Anolis sagrei: one gene and its partner. The protein of the gene in region 2 interacts with the protein of the main gene of each other region in a biochemical or structural test. Links are inferred from orthologs where the notes say so. Each region holds a gene or a part of one and is shown on either strand. Other genes may lie near its edges.

Evidence for each region.
Region 1: of the proteins of PTPRC (region 2) and CSK, one has a biochemical effect on the other in vitro, tested with the Homo sapiens proteins (2 studies listed by IntAct). The link is inferred for Anolis sagrei from reciprocal best matches to the Homo sapiens genes PTPRC and CSK.

What each region holds. Positions count from the first base shown.
Region 1 is NC_090029.1:21,309,720-21,317,463, reverse strand, and holds the start of CSK (tyrosine-protein kinase CSK), read left to right. Parts: upstream 1-4,654; 5' UTR 4,655-4,679; coding exon 4,680-4,757; intron 4,758-7,744. UniProt on the Homo sapiens protein: Non-receptor tyrosine-protein kinase that plays an important role in the regulation of cell growth, differentiation, migration and immune response.
Region 2 is NC_090024.1:110,843,873-110,850,997, reverse strand, and holds the start of PTPRC (receptor-type tyrosine-protein phosphatase C), read right to left. Parts: upstream 3,015-7,125; 5' UTR 2,927-3,014; intron 2,842-2,926; 5' UTR 2,789-2,841; coding exon 2,722-2,788; intron 1-2,721. UniProt on the Homo sapiens protein: Protein tyrosine-protein phosphatase required for T-cell activation through the antigen receptor. Acts as a positive regulator of T-cell coactivation upon binding to DPP4.

The DNA of each region.
Region 1 (7,744 bases), on a different chromosome or scaffold from region 2:
GCAGTGTTTGCACTGGGAAATTAACAGGGACGCTTGGAGAAAGCTAATCGTTTGGGCCAGCCAGAGTATTATTATTATTATTATTATTTATTTTTATTACAATTCTTCAATGTGGGTGTGCTCAGGCTTAATTTGACATGACATTTTCTTAGCTAATCATTTGAGGCTGCTTGATTATTATTATTATTATTATTATTATTATTATTTGTGGATGTGATCACGCTTAATCTGACATGACTTTTCTCAGCTAATCATTTGGGCTGGCTTGAATATTATTATTATTATTATTATTATTATTATTATTATATGTGGATGTGATCAGGTTCATTCTGACGTGACTTTTCTCGGATAATCTTTTGGGGCTGCTTTATTATTGTTATTATTATTATTATTATTCTATGTGGATGTGATCAGGCTTAATCTGACATGACTTTTCTCAGCTAATCATTTGGGCTGGCTTTATTATTATTATTATTATTATTATTTTACTGACACAAAAACACAGTATGTCACAGCAAACAAGATCTATACGCTGGATTTCGTATCACAAAATCATAAGTCAAACACTTCCCAAAAGTCTAGGGCTGTGTGATGTATTTTTGAATAATGCATGCAGGTCCAAGTCAGGTGACCTTTTATTATTATTATTATTATTATTATTATTATTATATGTGGATGTGATCAGGCTTAATCTGGTGTGACATTTTCTCAGATAATCATTTGTGCCATCTTGATTTATATTATTATTATTATTAAGTGTGGATGTGATCAGGCTTAATCTGGCATGACATTTTCTCAGCTAATTGTTTGAGCCAGCCAGAGTATTATTATTATTATTATTATTATTATTATTATTATTATTATTAGGAGCCTCTGGTGGTGCAGCCGGTTAAGCCACTGAGCTGCTGAACTTACTGACTGAAAGGTCAGTGGTTCAAATCCAGGGAATAGGGTGAGCTCTTGCTGTTAGCCCCAGCTTCTGCTAACCTTGAAGTTCAAAACCATGCAGCCCCACCAATGATTGAATTGGACCAAACTTCCCACACAGAATCCCCATGCCTTGAAGGGACTCGCTGGCATGCACCTCCCTCCAGCCTCACATGCTCTCCCTTTCCCGCATATGCTGCCATGCACTGAGCACACCTGTTCTCCTTTCCCCGATTAGAGTCTCTGCTGAGAGTCCAGCCAATCCTAGCGGAGGAGGGCTTTTGGTGGGAGGATTCACCATCTGTTTCCAAAAAGGAAGAGAAGGACAGGCGGAGAGATCTTCAGCCTTCTCTGCCAAAGGGACACCTAAGGCCATCAGAAATATGTGTTTCCTGATGGTCTTTAATGTCCCCTCTGAACCCCCCCCCCGGGGTCCCGACCCCCAGATTGAGAAGCGCTTTAGCCACACGTTGACACGCAAACCACAGTTTCTTTGTATGGAACTGGCCTGTCCATAGAAATTCAAGACGTAACAAGAAGCCACTGTGTAAACAAGCCAGAACTCTCAAACTAATAAGCCTTGATTTCCAATTAATGGCCTAGCAAACCATGGCTTGTGAATGGGAACGGGTTCCGAGGCAACAGCAAACCAGCCTCTATCAAATCTCAACCTGGTTTATGGTCCAAATTCAAATTATTTACGTAAATGGAAGGGTAAAATAAAAGCCACTGTCCAGACAGGTAGATAAATAAAACCCTGACCAGAAAACTCCAGAATGCAACGTTTCCATTGACAGGCAACTTCTTACCCAATGAAGCATGCAAACAGAATGGAGAAATTCCTGTTGGATTCCTGAAATAGTTGCAAAGAGTTTTTTGATGCCCAAAGGCCGGTCTTTACCTGTTTTTGTTTTTCCGCTCTCTTTCTTCCCAATGGCAACTTCCTCCTTTGTTTTATTGGGCAACGACGACGTAAATGCTAATGATCCAGAGCGATGCAAACGCGGAACCTTAACCCTTGAATATTTTAATAGGGGGCAAGGAAAACCAATTAGATAAAAACAGTGAAGGTAAATGTACGCAGCATTGATCCATTGCAGTGAAAGTGGTGTCAGGCTGCATTCATCCTCCAGTGTAGATGCAGCCCAGGATGTCCAGATTCAGGACGAGATCCTGCTGACCTCTTTTCCAAAACGCAGCCTTGGCTTTCTTATAAGATAAGCATCGGCATAAATCTCCCGTGCAATGCTGTCCCAGCCCTTTCCTCATTGACTACAGGGTGAATCTTGTTTTCTTTCTGGTCTGTTTGCAAGCAATTCAATTACTTACCGATTAGAGCAAGTCAAAACTTAATTTGCGAATGGCTTGGAGACAGGAGGACCAAAGGCGCTCGGCTTTGTTTCCTTTCGTGTAACGCTGGGCCCTACGTTGATTGGAGGTGCTGGATTACACACTCCAAACCAGTGGTTCTCCACCTTCCTAATGCTGTGACCCCTTAATCCAGTTCTTCATGTTGTGGTGACTCCCAACCATAACATTATTTTCGTTGCTACTCCACAGCTGCAATTTTGCTACTCTTATGAATCATAATGTAAATATCTGATAGGCAGGATGTATTTTCATTCACTGGACCAAATTGGGCACAAATACCCAATATGCCAAAATTTGAATACTGGCAGGATGGGGGGGGGGAGGGGTATTTTGTCATTTGGGAATTGTAGTTGCTGGGATTTATAGTTCACCTACAATCAATAATAAATAAATAAATAAATAAATAAACTTTATTTATACCCCACCACCATCTCCCCAGTCGTGACATGGAGCGGCTTAGATGAGGCCAAGCCCAAGCAACAAGTTAAAATAAAAATAAAACATCAATAGGAGCATAGTGTCTAGATCTAGGGAAGTCATGCTCCCCATGCTGTATTCCTCTTTGGTTAGACCACACCTGGAATATTGTGTCCAATTCTGGGCACCACAATTCAAGAGAGATATTGACAACCTGGAATGTGTCCAGAGGAGGGCGACTAAAATGATCAAGGGTCTGGAGAACAAACCCTATGAGGAGCGGCTTAAGGAGCTGGGTATGTTTAGCCTGAAGAAGAGAAGGCTGAGGGGAGATATGATAGCCATGTATAAATATGTGAGAGGAAGCCACAGGGAGGAGGGAGCAAGCTTGTTTTCTGCTTCCCTGGAGACTAGGACGCAGAACAATGGCTTCAAACTACAAGAGAGGAGATTCGATCTGAACACGAGGAAGAACTTCCTGACTGTGAGAGCCGTTCAGCAGTAGAACTCACTGCCCCAGAGTGTGGTGGAGGCTCCTTCTTTGGAAGCTTTTAAACAGAGGCTGGATGGCCATCTGTCAGGGGTGATTTGAATGCAATATTCCTGCTTCTTGGCAGGGGGTTGGACTGGATGGCCCATGAGATCTCTTCCAACTCTTTGATTCTATGATTCTATGAAACCAAAACACAACCGAAAATGCGAACAGCAACATCATAATAAAATAAAACATGTAAATACATAACAATGTAAAGTTACAATAGACGCAATCACAATGACAATGGGCAGGCTGCATGTAATGATTAAAAGAGAGACTAATTAAAACTAATTTAAAACTCGGGCGAGATAAAAAGAGACAGATTATAGCGGGGGTTGAGGAATCAAGCTTTCCCACAGAGGGGGGGACGGGACGACATATACTTCAATGACAGAATGTTGAGGCTAAGCAGTAATGTGGGGTTGTATACCTATTCTCCAAAGGCGCAGCAGAAGAGCCAGGTTTTAAGATCCTTAAATTCCATTATTGGTGGAGTTCAGAATGCTCTTTGATTGTAGGCTGACTATAAATCCCAGCAACTACAACTCCCAAATGACAAAATCAATTTTTTGAGTGATGATCACTCCTTGGGTTAGGAGTTGTCTTGTGGCCAAATTTGGTGGCAATTTGTCCAGTGATTGTTGAGTTATGTTAATCCCACAAATGAACATTACATTTTTATTTATATAGAATAGCCGTCCACTGCCATGCGTTGCTGTGGCCCAGTCGATGTATATGTTTTGTGTGTGTATATATTTGTATATATGTGTGTTTGCGTATATGTGTGTGTGTGTGTATGTGTATATATATGTGTGTGTATATATAGGGTTTTGCGTATGCATTGTAATGTAATTTTTGTAGGGGGTTTTGGCTTTTCAAGTGTCTTCTGCTGTGTTTTTCAGTGTTTTTCTGAATGATGGTCACTCGTTGGCCTGAGAGGTGCATTGTCCCAAATTTGGTGTCAATTTGTCCAGTGGTTTTTAAGTTATGCTAATCCAACAAACGAACATTACATTTTTATTTATAGAGATTGTTGGGGCACCAGCATTATTCTTTAGTAGAGCAGGCTTGCAAAACGACAGCTCCTCTGATACCAAGGCAGTTATAGAGTGCTCAAACTGCATCAATTCCGCAGTGTAGATGCACCTGTGGCTCTCCGAAGAGGGCACCAAAATTGAAATAATCCCTCTCCGGTGTCCTTGTGTGCCACATCTGGATGCCAAGCAGAGAAGCAAGCGGGTGAAGGATTATTCCGCAGTCCCGGCTTCCCTTTCTGCTGCAGCCGTCCCCCCCCCCCCCTCCGCTTCCATCAAAGCTTCCATCCTCCCCGGGGAAAACCGCAAGAGAGGAGAGGATGTGAATTATTATTACTCTTGGGAAGGGGGGGACATCGGGGAGGGACCTCGATGGGGGGCCGTGACCCGTTTCCATGCCATCAGCGGTGGCGGTGCCCCGGCGTTCCTGGTTACATAACCCCAAGATGCGGCTCAGCCTCTGTTCGGGTCTCGTAAGTCCTCCCTCCCCTCCTCCTTTCCCTCTTTCTTTCTTTCTCTCCATCCCTCTTTCAGGCTTCCTTGTTTGGCCTGGAGAGGAGGCCAGTGGAACCCCACCTTGGGATGCCTTCGGGATTGCAATTGGGTTGCATCTCAATTCCGTTGTGCTGATGCTGGCATTCTGGCTGATGCCAGAAAGCAAGCTGTATGCATGTATGATTTTCGCCTGGAACGTTTCCGTCCTTTATTTAAAAGGCCTGGAATTTCCATCCCTGCAAATAGAAAGCCATTGCTTCTCTTCCAACTCTATGATTCTAGGACTTTCTTTTGGTGGCCCCAGGCCTCTCACATCAAGAATCCAGGGATCCATTAAGGGTGGTGGAGGGGGGAGATGAGCTTTACCTACTATATCAGTGTTTCTCAACCTGGGGGTCGGAACCCCTGGGAGGGTCGTGAGGGGGTGTCAGAGGGGTCATGGGGGTTCTGTGTGGGAAATATGGCCCAATTCTATCGCTGGTGGAGTTCAAGGGGCTCTTTGATTAGAGGTGAACTATAAATTCCAGCAACTATAACTCCCAAATAACAAGTTCTATTTTCTCCAAACTCCACCAGTATTCGCATTGGGACATATTGAGTATTTGTGCCAAGTCCACAGTGCTCTCTGGATGTAGGTGAACTACAACTCCCAAACTCAAGGTCTATGCCTACCAAACGCTTTCAGTATTTTTTTTGTTGGTCATGGGAGTTCTGTGTGCCAAGTTTGGTTCAATTCTATTGCTGGTGGAGTTCAGAATGCTCTTTGTTTGTAGGTGAACTATAAATCCCAGCAACTACAACTCTTTAATATCAAGGTGTATTTTCCCCAAACTCCACCAGCGTTTGACCATATTGAGTATTCGTGTAGAGTTTGGTCCAGATCCATCATTCTTTGAGTCCATAGTGCTCTCTGGATGTAGGTGAACTACAACTCCCAAACTCAAAGCCAATGCCCACCAAACCCTTCCAGTACTTTCTGTTGGAGTTCTCTGTGCCAAGTTTGGTTCACTTCCATCATTGGTGAAGTTCAGAATGCTCTTGGATTATAGTGAACTATAAATCCCAGGAACTACAACTCCCAAATAACAAAATCAACCCCCCCCCCAACCCCACCAGTATTCAAATTTGGATGTATTGGGTATCTGTGCCAAATCTGGTTCAGTGAATGAAAATACATATTATTTTACGCTGATATTATTTTTATTACATGTATTATTTTACTCTAATTATTATTATTATTATTATTATTATTATTATTATAACAGTTATCATTTTACTCTATTATTACATTATTGTTTTACTGTACTATTATTATTACTCTATTATTACTGTTATTATTACATTTCCATTATTTTAACTCTATTATAATTATAATTATTATTATTATTATTATTACATTTATCATTTTACTCTATTATTATTTTACTTTACTATTGTTATTATTACTCTATTATTGCTGTTATTATTACATTTCCATTATTTTAACCCTATTATTATTATTATTAGTATTACATATATGTTTATTATTATTGGAAGGATACATAAAGCACATTGAAGATGCTTAGAATCAGAGTTGGACAGTCTTATCTAAAAGATAGTGTTATGTATATATTCAAAAACATTTAACCTTCTGATGCCTCAATTAATGTAATTTTATTGGTGTCCATTTTTCTTTTGAAATTTACCATTTGCTGCTGCATTTCCCACTCTCAGCTTATAATCAAGACAATATGTTTTCCCAGTTTTTGTGGTAAAATTAGGTGCCTCAGTTTATAATTGGGTCGGCTTATACTTGAGTATATACGGTAATATCTCAAATACTCTTTCCTTATGTTCTTTCATCTCCTGTCCTCATGGGAAGGGATTGCAACCATCTTGAAAGTGAGGAATTATTATTATTATTATTAGTAATAGTAGTAGTAGTAGTAGTATATCACTCCAAAATACTCTTTCTTTATGTCCTTCCATCTCCTGTCCTTATGGGAAAACGTTGCATTCATCCTGATATAATACACCAAGGAATTATACTTATTAGGGTTGTTATTATTATTATTCATAATAATAATAATAATAATAATAATAATAATAAATGTATTAATATCTCACCCCCAAATATTATTTCCTTCCATCTCCTGTCCTCATGGGAAAACATTGCATCTATCCTGATAGTTAATTCAAAGAATACAGTAAGGAATTAATAATAATAAGAAGAAGAAGAAGAAGAAGAAAAAGATCTCACCCCAAAATACTATTTTTTTTATTTCCTTCGATCTCCTTTCCTTATGCAAAAATGTTGCATTCATCCTGATAGAATACAGTGAGGAATTATTATTAATATTGTTATTATTATTCATAATAATAATAATAATAATAATAATAAATGTATTAATATCTCACCCCCAAATATTATTTCCTTCCATCTCCTGTCCTCATGGGAAAGAAAACATTGCATCCATCCTGATAGGTAAGTCAAAGAATACAGTGAGGAATTATTATTATTATTATTATTATTATTAATACTAATACTACTACTACTACTAATAATAATCTATATAAATAAAAATGTAATGTTGTGGGATTAACAGAACTCAAAAACCACTGGACGAATTGACACCAAATTTGGACTGGACGAATTGACACCAAATTTGGACACCAAATTTGTGTCTTGTGTCTTGGACACAAGACACCTAACAACCCAATGTATGTCCTTCACTAAAAAAAAAATTGATTTTGTCATTTAGGAGTTGTAGTTGCTGGGATTTATAGTTCACCTACAATCAAAGAGCATTCTAAACCCCACCAACCATGGAATTGAATGCAACACTATTATTTTGTTTGGTGGGAAGTGTCCTTTGGTTTTGGAGTTGTAGTTCACCTACATCCAGAGATCACTGTGGACTCAAACAATAATGGATCTGGACCAAACTCTACACGAATACTCAATATGCCCAAATGTGAACACTAG
Region 2 (7,125 bases):
CTCTCCAATGAGCAGTCGGGCTTTATTTCCAGAACGATAATGCTCAAGGGCCTAAATATCCCAAAGGCAGCAGATTTTATATGACAGGGTAAGCTCTAGAAAACCACCAGGTACTATAGATGATATTTCAGAGGAAAGAGCTGAGAAAGCCACCTCTGAATATTTCTTGCCTAAGAAAACCCTATGGCTTTATCGGGTCAACATAATGCAATGAATGGCTTGAAGGTTCATGACACTGAAACTGACAGTGGACCTATAAACTATGGAACAGATTTCCCCAAAAAGTAGGAGAGTCACAACTCCTGGATAATATAAAGTATAAGAATGAAGCAATGGTCTCTTTCCCCCTGCTTGATTATTTATTATCTGGATAACACCTATCATACAAAGATATCTCCTTACAGTTTACACTAGTAGATTATGTTTACTTGAAAAAGTAAATAAGCAGACATCTGAGAATCCCGGTTTGGAAGGAATATAGAGTTTGCTGTGTTTGATACGCTTAACATCCCAAAATACAAACTTTTAAAAACCAGATGTGGACCTCTTGCTATTTCTCTGTGTTTTAAACTTCCTTATTTCTTTCTTTTTCAGTCCTTAATCATAAACTCCCAAGCCAGGGACAAAACTTTGACCCTGGGATCCATTCAAGTTTCTTATACTTCAACAGTAAGAAGCTCACAAACCACCCTCTGAAAAAATCGTATCGGACCTATAAAGCTTTGTGATGGAAATATGATGTCCTTGGCTACCAGATTAAGGGTTGCTACTAGAATTTAGCAGAAAAGTGGGGAATAAATACATATGATAAATTAGTAAATAAATAAATAGGGAATCAGATTTCTTAGATGGGATTTCAAGAGAAAGTAGAAACCCTTGTTGGATGAAATTTTAAAAAGCCGCACCAGTAGCGTCAGTACTTAGGAAGCAAATTTTCCAGTAAGTTTAGACAAATTCCCAATAGTTAAAATTATATCCAAGATGATGCATAATGTGATCAGATTTTTTTTTTCAAAATAAGATATTTGATGCATCAGAGCTTGAAAGATGAGGAACTAAATACAGGATCTGAGAACAGGGAGTGGCTCAAAGACTGATAGCAAGCAAAGTCAATTGTTAAAGGAGAGAGAAGGGAAATTGTATTATATTATTGCTTTTACATGACATTTACTTTGAAAAAAATGTAAAACAAAACTCTCTAATGGAATGTCTGAAAATAAGCCTTTCTAATTAGTAAACCGGCCTGAGTCCCTCGTCGGAGGTGAGAAGACCGGTATATAAAAGTTCTAAATAAATAAATAAATAAATAAATAATCCAAATGCTATATGTGTTTGACTGAAATGCTAAAGACTAAATGTTTCCTTTTTTTAAAAAAAATAAATTAAAATTTCTTCTCCAGATCTTTGATTTGAAATATTGCGGCTTCCGGTTCACCGTGAATATTTTCACAATGCAGACAACTCGGATGCTACATAGTATAGAGAAACTTAACCTGACCAATGTGAAATAAATCTGCTGCTGTCGCTACTACTACTACTACTAATAATAATAATAATAATAATTGTTAAAAAACAAAACAAAATATGGATCGTTGATGTTGCAATCCCAGGCGACAACAGGATTGAAAAGAAACCACTGGAAAAGCTGACACAATATGAGGATTTAAAGATCGAACTGCAAAGACTCTGACACAAGCCAGTCAAGGTGGTCCCAGTGGTGATCGGCACACTGGCTGCAGTGCCTAAAGACCTTGGCCTGCACTTAAACACAATTGCCGCTGACAAAATTACCATCTGCCAGCTGCAGAAGGCCACCTTACTTGGATCTGCATGCATTATTTGCTGATACATCACATAGTTGTAGACACTTGGAAAGCGTCCGACGTGTGATCCAATACAACAGCTAATAGAGTGATCTTGTTTGCTGTGGCCTCATCTTGTTGTGTTTCAAATAATAATAATAATAATAATAATAATAATAATAATAATAAATATCAAAAAGTAACAAACATGCTGCTGTTATTAATTACATAGCTATCCAAGCTGGATAGGGAGATCTCCTTATGAAATAAATTGGATGTCTTTATGAGTTTGTTTGTTTTTTGTCATGTCAGTAGCGACTTGAGAAATTGCAAGTCGCTTCTGGTGTGAGAGAATTGGCCGTCTGCAAGGACATTGCCCAGGGGATGCCTGGATGATTTGATGTTTTATCACCTTGTGGGAGGCTTCTCTCATGTCCCCGCATGAGGAGCTGGAGCTGATAGAGGGAGCTCATCTGCCTCTCCCCGGATTTGAACCTGCAACCTGTTGGTCTTCAGTCCTGCCGGCACAGGGGTTTAACCCACTGTGCCACCGGGGGCTCCCTTTATGGGTGCTATTCCCCAATAGTGTGTTTCAAATGGCCAGTTTCAGGAAATTATTTCTACATTGTTTTCTCTACTTAGGAGTACATGTAAATTGCATAGCATTCTGCAACTAAGTTATGAACACTGCACTGAAAAAAATTACTGCACCCAAATAGATACATAAAATGCCAAAGACACCAGCTTGCAAATGTTCTGACACTCTCCAACTTTCCTGGGAACACAGAAATATTTCAGAAGCAGACCTGCGATTTTCAACATTTAGTCCTCTAACAATTCAACACGGCTTTGTTGTTACTGCTGTTTTCAAGAAGATTTTACAGCTCCAAAAGGAATGAATAAGTCATGACTCTCTTACCTTTTCCAAAAACACCCACGTCCACAAGGGCCAAGCCAAAGGCCAAGAGTTTAAGCCACAAAAGCATGGTTATATCCACGGATTGGGTGTATTCTTACTAAACAGCATGTGTGTGCCTGTCTATGGAAGGCAAAATAATTGTTATAGCTTGGTGCAAAGGCCTTGCCACGGTCCAAATCAAATGCAGAATATACTATGAGCATACATTGCAATGTCTCCTTATCATCCGGTGAGCAGCTTCCTCTGTCACCCAGAAACTAACCAACCGCAGTCACACTCTTCAGCCAAATGACGTCACAGACAATTTTGCTCACACTTCCCTAAAACGCAGTTGTCTTCTTCTTCTTCTTCTTCTTCTTCTTCTTCTTCTTCTTCTTCTTCTTCTTCGTTTCCAGGAAGTCACAAAGTTTTCTAAAGATGTTACAGAGACTGACTTCCTGGTTGAAAAACAGATGCTACCAGAGTTTCTGAAGAACTGAGAAGGGTTTCTCTTTCAAATTGTGTCCCCACTGCTTGCTTTCTTTTAGAGAAAACAAGAACTCAGTTCCTACACAAAATGAGCACCATACCAGCTTTTCCATAACACTGAGGAAATAAGATCTCAGTATGCTTTACTAACACGACCTCAGTAGACTACTTGATGCCACCTTAAAGTGCTCACTTGTTGCTTAAAGCAGAGCTGGACAAAAACCCCCAATGAAAATCTATATAAATAAAAATGTAATGTTCGTTTGTGATATTAACAGAACTCAAAAACCACTGGGGGAATTGACACCAAATTTGGACACAAGACACCTAACAACCCAATGTATGTCCTTCACTAAAAAAAATGATTATGTCATTTGGGAGTTGTAGTTGCTGGGATTTATACTTCACCTTCAATCAAAGAGCATTCTGAACCCCATCAACAATAGAATTGGACCAAACTTGGCACACAGTTCTCCCATGACCATAGAAAATACTGGAAGGGTTTGGTGGGCAGTGTCCTTTGGTTTTGGAGTTGTAGTTCACCTACATCCAGAGAGCACTGTGGACGCAAACAATGATGGTTCTGGACCAAACTCTACACGAATACTCAATATGCCCAAATGTGAACACTGGTAGAGTTTGGGGGAAATAGAATCTTGACAGTCGGGAGTTGTAGTTTCTGGGATTTATAGTTCACCTACAAACACAGAGCATTCTGAATCCCACCAACAATACAATTGGGCCAAACCTCCCACACAGAACCCCCATGTGCACCACAGCAACGCGTGGCAGGGGGTGGCTAGTAATATATATATATATATTCATTAAGTTTGGGTTCCTTGAGATTGTTTATCCACACCTAGCATATCCCTCATCTTTTTCTGTTAGTTGTGGATGATGGGAATTAAAATGTAAAAATACCTGGGGACTCATGTCTTAGAAGTCAATCACTTTTAAGGTATAATTCATCTGAGAACAAGGATAATTCCTTGGATTTATAGCATTCTCAGACCTGAGTTCAATGAAACATAATTTTACGCAATGTGTGCAGAAATATAGCACAAAGGCAATATTTTAAATGGGTATTGAAATGTTATTCCAACTGTATGTTTTTTACCTATAGAATGTTTCTGTATAAGTCAAGGTCAGATTTGGGGGCCAAAATTATGGTTTGTGATATGATCTATGGATACCTTGAGTAGAAGAAGTTGGTGGTTCTTTTAGGTTCTCCACAGAGAGGTAAAGTTCTCAAGGCTAGCTTTTGAATGTTCCTAGAGAACGTAAAAGAACCACTGACGCCCTCCACTACTACTGTTCCAGTGAAAAAACACCCCAAAAAAACCCCACTATGGTAGATAGTTTAGAGGGGATTTGGGCTTTTTTCAACTTCTTACAGCCTCTTCCACTTTCCACAACCCAGCAAGGAAGTGCCAAAAATTACCATCATGATCAAGGAGCCATTGCCACAGATGCAAAAACAACCCCTCTTTTTCACTTCTACCAAACTCTTCCACTTTCCATGCCACAGGAGAGGACTAGAAAGCTGCTGGCATGGGGATCGGGAATTTTTAGCTTCTCCTAACCACTTTCCTTATTCTGTTGGAAAAGCACCATACAGTCACTAATTGGCAGAAAGAGTAATAGGAATCAGGACTTTCTTCAATTTCAAGCAATGGAATTTTTACACATTCTCCCAACTTCCTTCACACTCCCTGCCTCAGATTCTCCAAGGACCTGAAGTCTTGAGGAAAGAGTCCTTCATTGTTTGAGAAGTACACTGGGTTCCTTCTTCACATTTCTGTCATTTACTTTGATAAGAATGAGATCACCTTGCCCTCATTCTATTGGTCCTGCATGATTTTCAGTTCATACAGAGTAAATGGCTAGGATTAATCTTTGTATGATAATTCCGATATTTTGCCCCACTAAGTTTGGCAACTTGATTTTGCCCATAGAAGGGTAAATAGAGAAATCGGGAATGTTTTGTTTAAGGGGTTCGGCCACTTTCTCCCTCATCTTATCATAGTTTTCTAGTGGCCAGGTCTATACAGAAGAGAGTAACTTGAAGTGAGGGCCATGTTGGATATCTGGGTTCAGAAAACAGACTAAGCAGATGCTTGTTCTTTGTTCCTGGCAGGTAGTGTGTGTGTGTGTGTGTGTGTGTATGTTGTTGTTTTTTTTTGGGGGGGGGGTAATATGTCTTCAGTGTACACCTTGGCATCCTTGTAGTGAAGGATAGGTGTCATATGTTCTGCAGTTGATGGTTGGTGATGGAAGGATTAATGTATTAGTTCTAGAGGGTTTGGTAATCTGTAAGTGGGAGCTCATGGGTGAAAGCAATTAAGGGTGGAGGTATGCAAGAGATGGGTTGCAGCTGAGTGTTTCTGGATATAAGGAGCTAGCCTTGGCACTGATCTTTGGGAGAAAAGTATTTGTTGCATTTTGGTGGTGGATATTGTTGGTTTTTTCCCCAGGTCTGTTGGATTTTCGGTGTCCTGACCTGTAATCTTGGAATCCTGGAACCTTGAACCTTTGGACTGGCTTTTGACTATGGTATACTCTTGACCCCTGGACTCTGTTATTGAACTCTCGGCATTTGACCATTGGACTGGACACTTTCAACTACGAAGTTATTTTTGCTATCAGTTTTGTTTATTCTGTAGCTGCGTGTTATCTTTGTGTTTTATATTTTGGACTATAAAAACAGCCAGCAAGTAAGTGCTTGTGCAGAAATCATTGATACTATGTATGTGTTTAACTGTTAGAGTATATATTTGTGTTTGTAACAGTAGCTAAAACTAGAGTTGTCTGGTTTGAATCCACAGTGAGTGTTGCCAAGGAGACCAGGCAGGATAGCTCAGGAGAGTGAGAAGTGGGCGGAGCCAAGCAGGAAAAGTTATGTGCGTCTTTGGAAAAGGGGCAGAGTGGAGGCTTGAAAAGCTTGGGAGAGAGGTGTGTGTGGGCAACTGGAGGTTTTTCAGTCTAGGAGGGCTGAAGAGAGAAACCTGGCCAGTTTCTTTAGTCAAAGAAGACTAAAGGAAGCCTGTTAAGATCCCTAGTCAAGGAAGGGCTAGAGATCAGAGATTTGATCAAGGAAAGATCAAATTGGAAGGCTATTCATATTAGGAAACATTGTTCACTAAAGAGCTTCACCTCAGTAAAAGTTAGCCACGAGCTGTGTCATCTGGAAGAGTGGACTGTATTACAAACCAAGTGATATTCAAAGTTCTATAAGTTATTTAACAGCCTGCAACCATACGCTTTGTACACAATAAACTTGTTATCTTTTGTTGAAGACCATCTCATCTCAATTAATCTGCGTCTGTAGAGCCAGATCTCATCGGTGGTACCTCAAATACCTCACGTTGGTGGAAGTTACCTTAATTTACAAATAATAATTGGCCTCCTCTATAATATATTCTTATACACAATTGAGGCCTGAGATTAATTCCCTCCATAATCATCCACACCTATACAATTGGTTCGCACATTCTGTACATGCTGTTTTAATTAAACTGTTTGTTTAAACTGGGAGTTTTGATTCATCTCTACCTAAACAAGATAGAGCCCTGACAACGTGACAATAGGGTTCTGGAACTGCCTCTTTAGGTTCTGAATCCCAGGAGATGGGGAAGAGCTTTCTACCATTGAGGCTGATCTGGGGTTTGCTCTTATTTTATAAGTCATGGGACTTGGGTGGGAGTTCTCATTAATTTACCCTCCAGTCAATAGCCAGCCAGGGAGCAAATCAATTGTTGCATTGTCCTCAGAGCTTAGGAAAGGATCAGGAAGTTGTCAGGGATTGACACTAGGCCACAGTTGGACACCTGATCACTCCCATCTCTTGGTCCTTACCAAATTCAATGAAAATTAAATAGTTTTTAGGATAAATAAAGTGACTCTTATTTAATCCGTTTTTCTCTGTCTGATCTCATT